Linked DNA regions of Rattus norvegicus. The protein of the gene in region 1 purifies or fractionates together with the protein of each later gene. This does not show direct contact. Links are inferred from orthologs where the notes say so. Each region holds a gene or a part of one and is shown on either strand. Other genes may lie near its edges.

What was found.
Region 2: the proteins of Gnb5 (region 1) and Gng2 purify together in Homo sapiens (affinity purification with western blotting; 4 studies listed by BioGRID and IntAct, with this or other methods). This does not show direct contact. The link is inferred for Rattus norvegicus from reciprocal best matches to the Homo sapiens genes GNB5 and GNG2.

What each region holds. Positions count from the first base shown.
Region 1 is NC_086026.1:84,955,809-84,959,557, forward strand, and holds the start of Gnb5 (guanine nucleotide-binding protein subunit beta-5), read left to right. Parts: upstream 1-820; 5' UTR 821-927; coding exon 928-1,039; intron 1,040-3,749. UniProt on the Homo sapiens protein: Enhances GTPase-activating protein (GAP) activity of regulator of G protein signaling (RGS) proteins, such as RGS7 and RGS9, hence involved in the termination of the signaling initiated by the G protein coupled receptors (GPCRs) by accelerating the GTP hydrolysis on the G-alpha subunits, thereby promoting their inactivation.
Region 2 is NC_086033.1:4,459,362-4,463,010, reverse strand, and holds part of Gng2 (guanine nucleotide-binding protein G(I)/G(S)/G(O) subunit gamma-2), read right to left. Parts: intron 376-3,649; coding exon 247-375; 3' UTR 1-246. UniProt on the Homo sapiens protein: Guanine nucleotide-binding proteins (G proteins) are involved as a modulator or transducer in various transmembrane signaling systems.

The DNA of each region.
Region 1 (3,749 bases):
CTACTCTGCAAAAATAGCTTGGAGGTGGGGTGGGAGGTGGGGTGTCTGGGATTCCTTTCACAGCGACTCAGGTGAGCACTGAAAGTGTCACCAAGGAACCTAGCCCAGTGAAGTGTAGCTGCAGAGGAGCCACTGGAGTCATCAAATTGTTAAGGTCAATAAAACATAAGCAGGGCTGGAGAGATGGCTCAGCGGTTAAGAGCACTGACTGCTCTTCCAGAGGTCCTGAGTTCAAATCCCAGCAACCACATGGTGGCTCACAACCATCTGTAATGAGATCTGATGCCCTCTTCCTGGTGTGTCTGAAGACAGTGGCAGTGTACTCATATATAATAAATAAATCTTAAAGAAATAAAATAAAACATAAGCAAACCTTCATTCCAAAAGAGAGGACGCCCCTGACCCCAGCAAGGTCTGCCCCTGACTCATGCTTTTGTTGTCTTAACCCAGAACCCAGGCAGTCAGAACTCATTTTTAAAAGAATGTTTCAACTAGTGGGCTGTGAGGCACCTGTATGAAGCCTCCTGCCCCCAAGTCCCCGGGATGCCAAGGGCTGGGCGGTATAGGTTGGACTTCAGTAAGCACCCCTGGAGCCAGGAGACCAGAGTTTGTGGGCCATAGCGTGGTCTGCGAGCCTCAGTTTATTCTAGCCTCCTACCCTCACCCACCCCCACTCTCACCCCAACTCCCATCCCCACCCCCACTGTCCCACCTCCGAGCATCGCCCCGCCCGGTTCTCAGGGAGGGCGCGGTGGGCGGAGCCAGCAGAGTCTGTCACCGCAGCGCTCGCGTCACTGCCGAGGGGGCGGGCCCGGGGTGGCGTTCGGGGTCACGGAGGCTGCTGCTGCGCCCGCCCTCCCGTCGGGCCCCCGCGTCGATTCACAATCTCCCGCTTTGCGTTTCTCTCCCGGCTGCATCCGGACGAAGATGGCAACCGATGGGCTGCACGAGAACGAGACGCTGGCGTCGCTGAAGAGCGAGGCCGAGAGCCTCAAGGGCAAGCTAGAGGAGGAGCGGGCGAAGCTGCATGACGTGGAGCGTGAGTGCGAGCAGGGGGTGGAAGGGAAGCTCTCGGCCGGAGTGGACCAGACTCTCCAAGGGGCTGGCGGACCTGCGTGGGACCGATTCCAACGTCCCTGATGGGAGGATGCCGAGCCCCTCCCAGGGGGCGGGTGGGGAGGTGGTGACAGCAGGTGCGGGCGGGCGAGGAGAGACCGCTTTACAGTTCCACGTTGGGCTTCTCTGCCCCTGTCAGGTCCCTTCCTCTGCGTGGATTTTGAAGCTCCCTTTCCCATCTCTCCACTGTCCTTGGGGGCAGGGAGCTGGATGGCGGAGGGAAGCCGATGTGCTTTCTGCATCCGCCGGCTCGGCTTGGGGTAGGCCCTTTTAGGAGTGTTTGATGGATGCTGCGGCTGACATAAAAGAGCTAACGCGGTATAAATAAACTTGCCAGCGTGCCCGCATCCCAGAGACTCTCGGCCAGAGAGAGAACAGAGCTCGGAGTAGGGACCCTGCTTGGGCAGTGGTCTTACCCGTTCACCCTCCCTTACTTACGTACTCCCTTTCAAGGCCTGCCAGCCCCCAACCCTAACACACTTCTGTACGGTGCGCCCCCCCCCCACGCCCCTGCCCACCTTCCTAATAGGCCTTGATCTTTTCAGTTCCATTTAGAGAAGGGAACTGGGGGTCAGAGTGAGGCCTTTAGTGTTTAATTTCTTTGAAACTTGCTGGAAGTACAAAACCCTGGTTGTCTGCTCTCGGGGCCTTCTCTTAAGTTAGGAAGGGGCAGCTAACTCCTGTGTGGTTAGAAATGTGCTCAGATGTAAGTGGTTAAATGGTGGGTTTTGGTAACAAGATCAGGTCTGGTGCAGCTACCTGGTGCTTTGAGGGACTCACGCGTTTCCACGCCTTATCGCTGGCACTTATTTACCCAGTGATCCCAAGATGACTGCCACCGCTCCAAACGTTGCCCCTGTATCCAAAGCAGGAAGAAGGGAGAGTGTGAACACCGGGGCTCTTTTCCTTCTTAGGGAAAAAGCAAACATTTCCCAGAATTCCTCTCCTCCCAACATTTCTATCTGCACTTCATAGGCCATGTGGCCCCTGCCAGGGAGTCTGAAAAAGGGGGAGCCAGGCTGAGCATGTTGCCAGCCCTAAATGAGAAGTGAGGAGTAGGTATCAGCTGCGTGACATGGGCCTGCCTTCTCAGAGCCTTGTATGCTACAGATAGATGATGGTGTTGCCTCATCTTGGTATCAGTGCCTTGGACTTCTCCACTTGACAGCTTAGTCTTGTGGCTTGAGCAGTCTTTTTGAAGCCCCACACCGATGGCCCTTATGACATGAGCCCCCCACTCTAGCACAACCCTTCAGCCCACACAGAGAAACCCTTGTCTTGTCGTCTCTCCATCCCTTAAAGTCCCACTCTGACCACAGTGTCTTCCAGGTCCTTAGGAACCCTGGCTCTCTCCTGTACCTGGAAGCCCTGTCCTGTGTTCCGTCACTTCCCTGACATCAGCACAGACATTTTGATCAACTTCTGGAAGTCTTGCTGAGGGACATTGACTCTGGCCCTCCTGCCCCCTCCCCAGCCATGGATGTAGCCATCCTCCTGTCTCCTCTCGCTGAACTCCAGGGGCTACTGAAGAGAGGGCACCAAGAGACCTCTGTGGTCAGTGGCTAAGTGACCCCTGCATTGCCCTTAGTCAGATTTACCCTGGCAACTGTAAGACGTCAGCAATCTGTGGGAGTCTCTGTTCTGCCCACCTTTTATTTCCCTCACAGAAAGTGGGAGGTAAAAGAAGTGAGAGGCCTGTTTATAGATCTGAGTTCATAGATTTAGCCCTCGTCCCCTGCACACCTGCAAGGGTCAGCTTCCCCTCTCTCCTCATCTCAGGATACCCCTCCTCATCTTTAATTTCCCTTCCATCTCTCTACCTCTGAAAACAGTCACACACACACACACACACACACACACACACACACACACACACCTCTATCTTTTACTCACACAGTTTGTCAGCCCCTAGTGTGTCTGCCTCTGCTTGGTCCATAAAGATGCTGCAGTGAACAAATCAAGAATGTTCCCTTGTAAGTCTTTGGTCCAAAGGCTTCTAGAAGTTGGTCATTCAATAGGTAAGATGAGATTGGGTTAGACACGTGCTCTGGATAGAAGAGAGGGGGTGGGGATGTGGGAAATGAGTCTGGGGGAGCTCAGAGACTTCCAGAGACTGTGAGCTGGAGTGGCTCCCAGAAAGGATCTTTGAATGCAGACTCCTTACCTGTGTAAAGGACAGACTGTCCCAGAAAAGAGCATTTGAAATAAAGCAGCAGCACAAGCTGGGTCAAGGGAGCATTGATGTAGTGAGGCAAAGCTGAGGCAGGGGACTATGTTTGCTGTACTTAGGGAAAGCTGAGGCTATGTCTGGAGAGGCATAAACAGGAGTAGAGAAGAAAGTGGGGTTACAATGGGAGCTATTGGAGCATGGAGGGACATAGCGAAGGATTGGGTGCTATGCATGTGTGTGTGCACACGCACGTGTGCGTGTGAATGTGTAGAGACCTGAGGTAAACTAAGGTGAATGCTGTTCACCTTGGTTTTTATAAACAAGTCTCTCGTTTTACCTGGACCAAGTATGTAGGCCAGGCTGGCCAATGAGCTTGAGGGATCCTCCTGTCTCCGCCTCCCTGGACTGGAATGACAAGTGTGAGCCACTACAGCCAACTTGATTGACACTTAGGTCCTGATTC
Region 2 (3,649 bases), on another chromosome or scaffold:
CTCGTTTTTTTTATACACTCCCCTCCTCCAGGCCGGTCTGCAGGGTCAGATCTCTAAAGTTAGGACATGGAATCAAGCTTTCATTCTCATGAGGGGACAGTTCTTTAAACATGCACAGCCCGGAGTGTCCAGGATGGTTCTCCTTCCTCTCTTTAAATGCTGCGGACGAGAAAGGCGCCCACTCTGCTAGGAACTCTACATCAATGTCCCGGGAGCCCCGACCATCTTCAGCCTCCTCTCAGAGACTTAAAGGATGGCGCAGAAGAACTTCTTCTCCCGAAAGGGATTTTCTGAGGCCGGGACTGGGGTCAGCAGGGGATCTTCCTTGGCATGTGCCTCACAGTAGGCCATCAAGTCTGCAGCTGCCTTGGACACCTGCATGGGAAGGCAAAGACATCTGAGAGGATGGACAGGCACGGACCCAAACACCACCGCTCAGCCACTCAGGACCCCAGCTTTGGGGTCCTCCACCTTGGAGTTCATCCAGCTAAGCACTTGAAAGCCAACGGATGTAAGTGAAGGGCTACACCCCGCCTGCATAAGCTCTGCTTCCTGGTTGTCAGTGAAACCGACCTGACTGACAGCGCTGTGGCCGGCAGGTGGGGATTTAGGAGCGAAGCAATCAGGGCCTCAAACAGAAGAGCCACTTGACTCGAGAATCGGAGAACCGAGCAAGCACCAACCTTCCCCTTAAACCTTTGTGCCATGATACCTTAGTTGCTGCCGCTGAGTCCCAGCACTGGTGGCAGAATTATACCAGTGAGATAACCTAGGGAAGACATCGAATCCCACACAAAGGGTGCTCTTGACCTAGGAGAGTCATTGCTATCTCTCTATAGCCACACCCCTGCTTCTGGAATTCTCCTTAGAATGCCTACAGCTAGACCGGTGTCCCTTTCTAACCAGAAGGCATACTAACATGCATGCACGCACGCATGCGCGCGCGCACACACACACACACATGCACAACACACACACACACACACACACTGATATCATATAGTATAGAAAATATTCATTACAGTAGCACCATGTGACTCCAACCAAGAAGGCTCCCATTGGAGGAGCTTCGCGTTTTGGGGAGGTGTCGTGCGCACTGCCAGCTCCCTGTGAGGAATTACCAATGGTGCTATCCTCCGCAGTTGTTGCACGTTTTTGTTACTTGAGGAGCTAGATTTAACTTTGAGAGATAAGCTGACATCTGTCGATGGGGTAGGTGATCCTACCAGAAGAATGTCATTTGGAATCAGCAACATGGAGTCAGTCATTGGATTCTTACATGACACCGTATGCCTGTGCTGAGGCTCACCAACTGTAGGGTGTGAAAGTCTCTCACGGTGACCACTGCAAGTATAAGCTTCTCTAAGACAACATGGAGTCAGTCATTGGATTCTTACATGACACCGTATGCCTGTGCTGAGGCTCACCAACTGTAGGGTGTGAAAGTCTCTCACGGTGACCACTGCAAGTATAAGCTTCTCTAAGACTCGGGCAGATTATACTATAACTACATTCCATGCTTCACTCCAGGTAGGCTCCATATATCTGCACAGTGATAATCAGACTAGCTTATATCACAAGTGATTTGTTCTGGCCAATGAGATGTGAGCAGAATCGATGCTAATTACTCTGGGGCAGAAGAATCAGTGCATGACCTGCCAGGCACGCTTCTCTCTCCCTCTCTGTCCATTTGAACTAACAATCAGGACCTCCCTGCCCAGTTCACGAGTCTCCAGGAAGGGATCAGTGGCCACACCCTTGCTCTGATCCTTGCCTGAGGACCAAGTGGATTAGACGTCCATCGCTTAGAGCTTACAACAGTTTTAAGATTAACAGGTTGGACACAGAAATCAGTTTTACAGTCTCAATCAGCAAACGCTCAGCTTTTCTTTCTCTGCTCTCTTAGCCGCCGGCCAGACAGAAGGACTATTCTAGTCAGACAGAAGCACTATTCTAGACAGACACTGTGCCATAGGCCAGGGTGACAGTGACTCGGTGTGGAGTGGCTGCTGCTCTGATAAGGGAAAATCTCACAGCAGCTCGATAATCATAAGCCTACTTTGTTCTCGACATCAAGTTAAAATTTCTCTTGCTCTGTAGTAGAAGTAAAATTTTTCTGCTCTGCAGAGTAGACCTGTGTAGGAAGTGCCAAAATATAGGGGAATGATTACTGCTGGGAAGGCCAGCTTACCTTGATCTGGATGTAAACACTGAAATAAGCATTTGTTCCCTGTCACTGCCTTGATGCAGCACTACCAACCAGATGGCTTAACGCAGCACCAGTATGTCCTCTCGGCACAGCAGCGCCAGAAATGTTATGTTTGAAATGAAGGTGTCAGTACGGTTGATGCCCAACCCTCTGAGCGAGAATCTGCCCCGTGACACTCAGCGCCCGGTGGCTGTGGTGACCTTTTGGGATTCCATGCCTTGCGCACAGAGCACTCCAATGCCAACCCCTACCTTTTATGTGGCATTCGTCTCTTTGTTGCTCAAATCCGTCAGTCATTGCGTGAGGGTCTGCCCTCACCCTGCTCTAACGTGAATGTTAGACGTGTCCCACCGAGCATCTTTCCTTCCCATCTCTGTGAGAGTGCATCGGTATAAATCACCATCCACCTTGTGTAGATGAAGGCTTGAGGCTCGGCAGATTCCCGGAGCTTGCTCGCAGGCGGGCAGAGACGCACGCCGCAGAAGAACTCGGATGCTGATGTTTTGCCGTTACAGGCGCAGCTGCCTGCATGCAAACGACTGAAATGCCTGGCTAGTTCCAAAGGTGGGAACTAATTCTCCATGCATCTTTCCCAAACTCGACGATGATGAGATGAAAGGAAAAGGACTGTTCTAGCCGTGGCTCCCCCAAATGAGGGCAAAGGTCAGACTTTGAGGGGAAATAGCGAACATTTTTTTCCCTGTGGCTTTTACTTATTCGAGCAATAGGAGTGGATGGGTTTAACAGGACGCAGCAACTGTAAAATCGCACTGCCGTACCCACATTTGTTAGGAAGAGCTCTACTACTCAACCACGGCGCTCGCACACAGGCACACGGCATGACGTTTCTGAAGCACTCTTTACCCGAGATTTTATTTTCCCTTTGTGTGTGTGTGTGTGTGTGTGTGTGTGTGTGTGTGTGTGACTGCGTGCATGTCTGTGCACCCCATGCACGCAGCACTCCAGGAGGTGAGAAGGGGGCACTGGATCCTATGGGACTGGTGTTACACAGACTGCCACATGGGTGCTGGGAACCAAACCCTAGTCTTCCGTAAGAACAGCCAGTGCTCTCACCACCAAGTCATCTCTGTGCATCTCAAAGTCCTCTTTATGGCACAGAAGATACTAGAGCGGGAAAATTAATAACATGGAATCGTTTGTAGTTTGTATCTGAACAAACGATTCTGAGCAATTTCCTTTTCAAAATATATTGTTTCCTCCCGAGACTGCTGTCTCTTGAGGATGATGACCCCACACAACACTGGAATCTTGCTGACAGCTGGAATAGCTGCTGGTATTTATGGCCTTTGCTATGTGTCCAAACTGTGTAAACTGCTTTACGCCAAGTGTCGTCGTTAGTCTGTAGAAGAGTTGTACGAGTCTGTAAGTTACTAATACCCTCACACTTTTTTCAGTTGATTTCTTTGAGACAGGATCTTC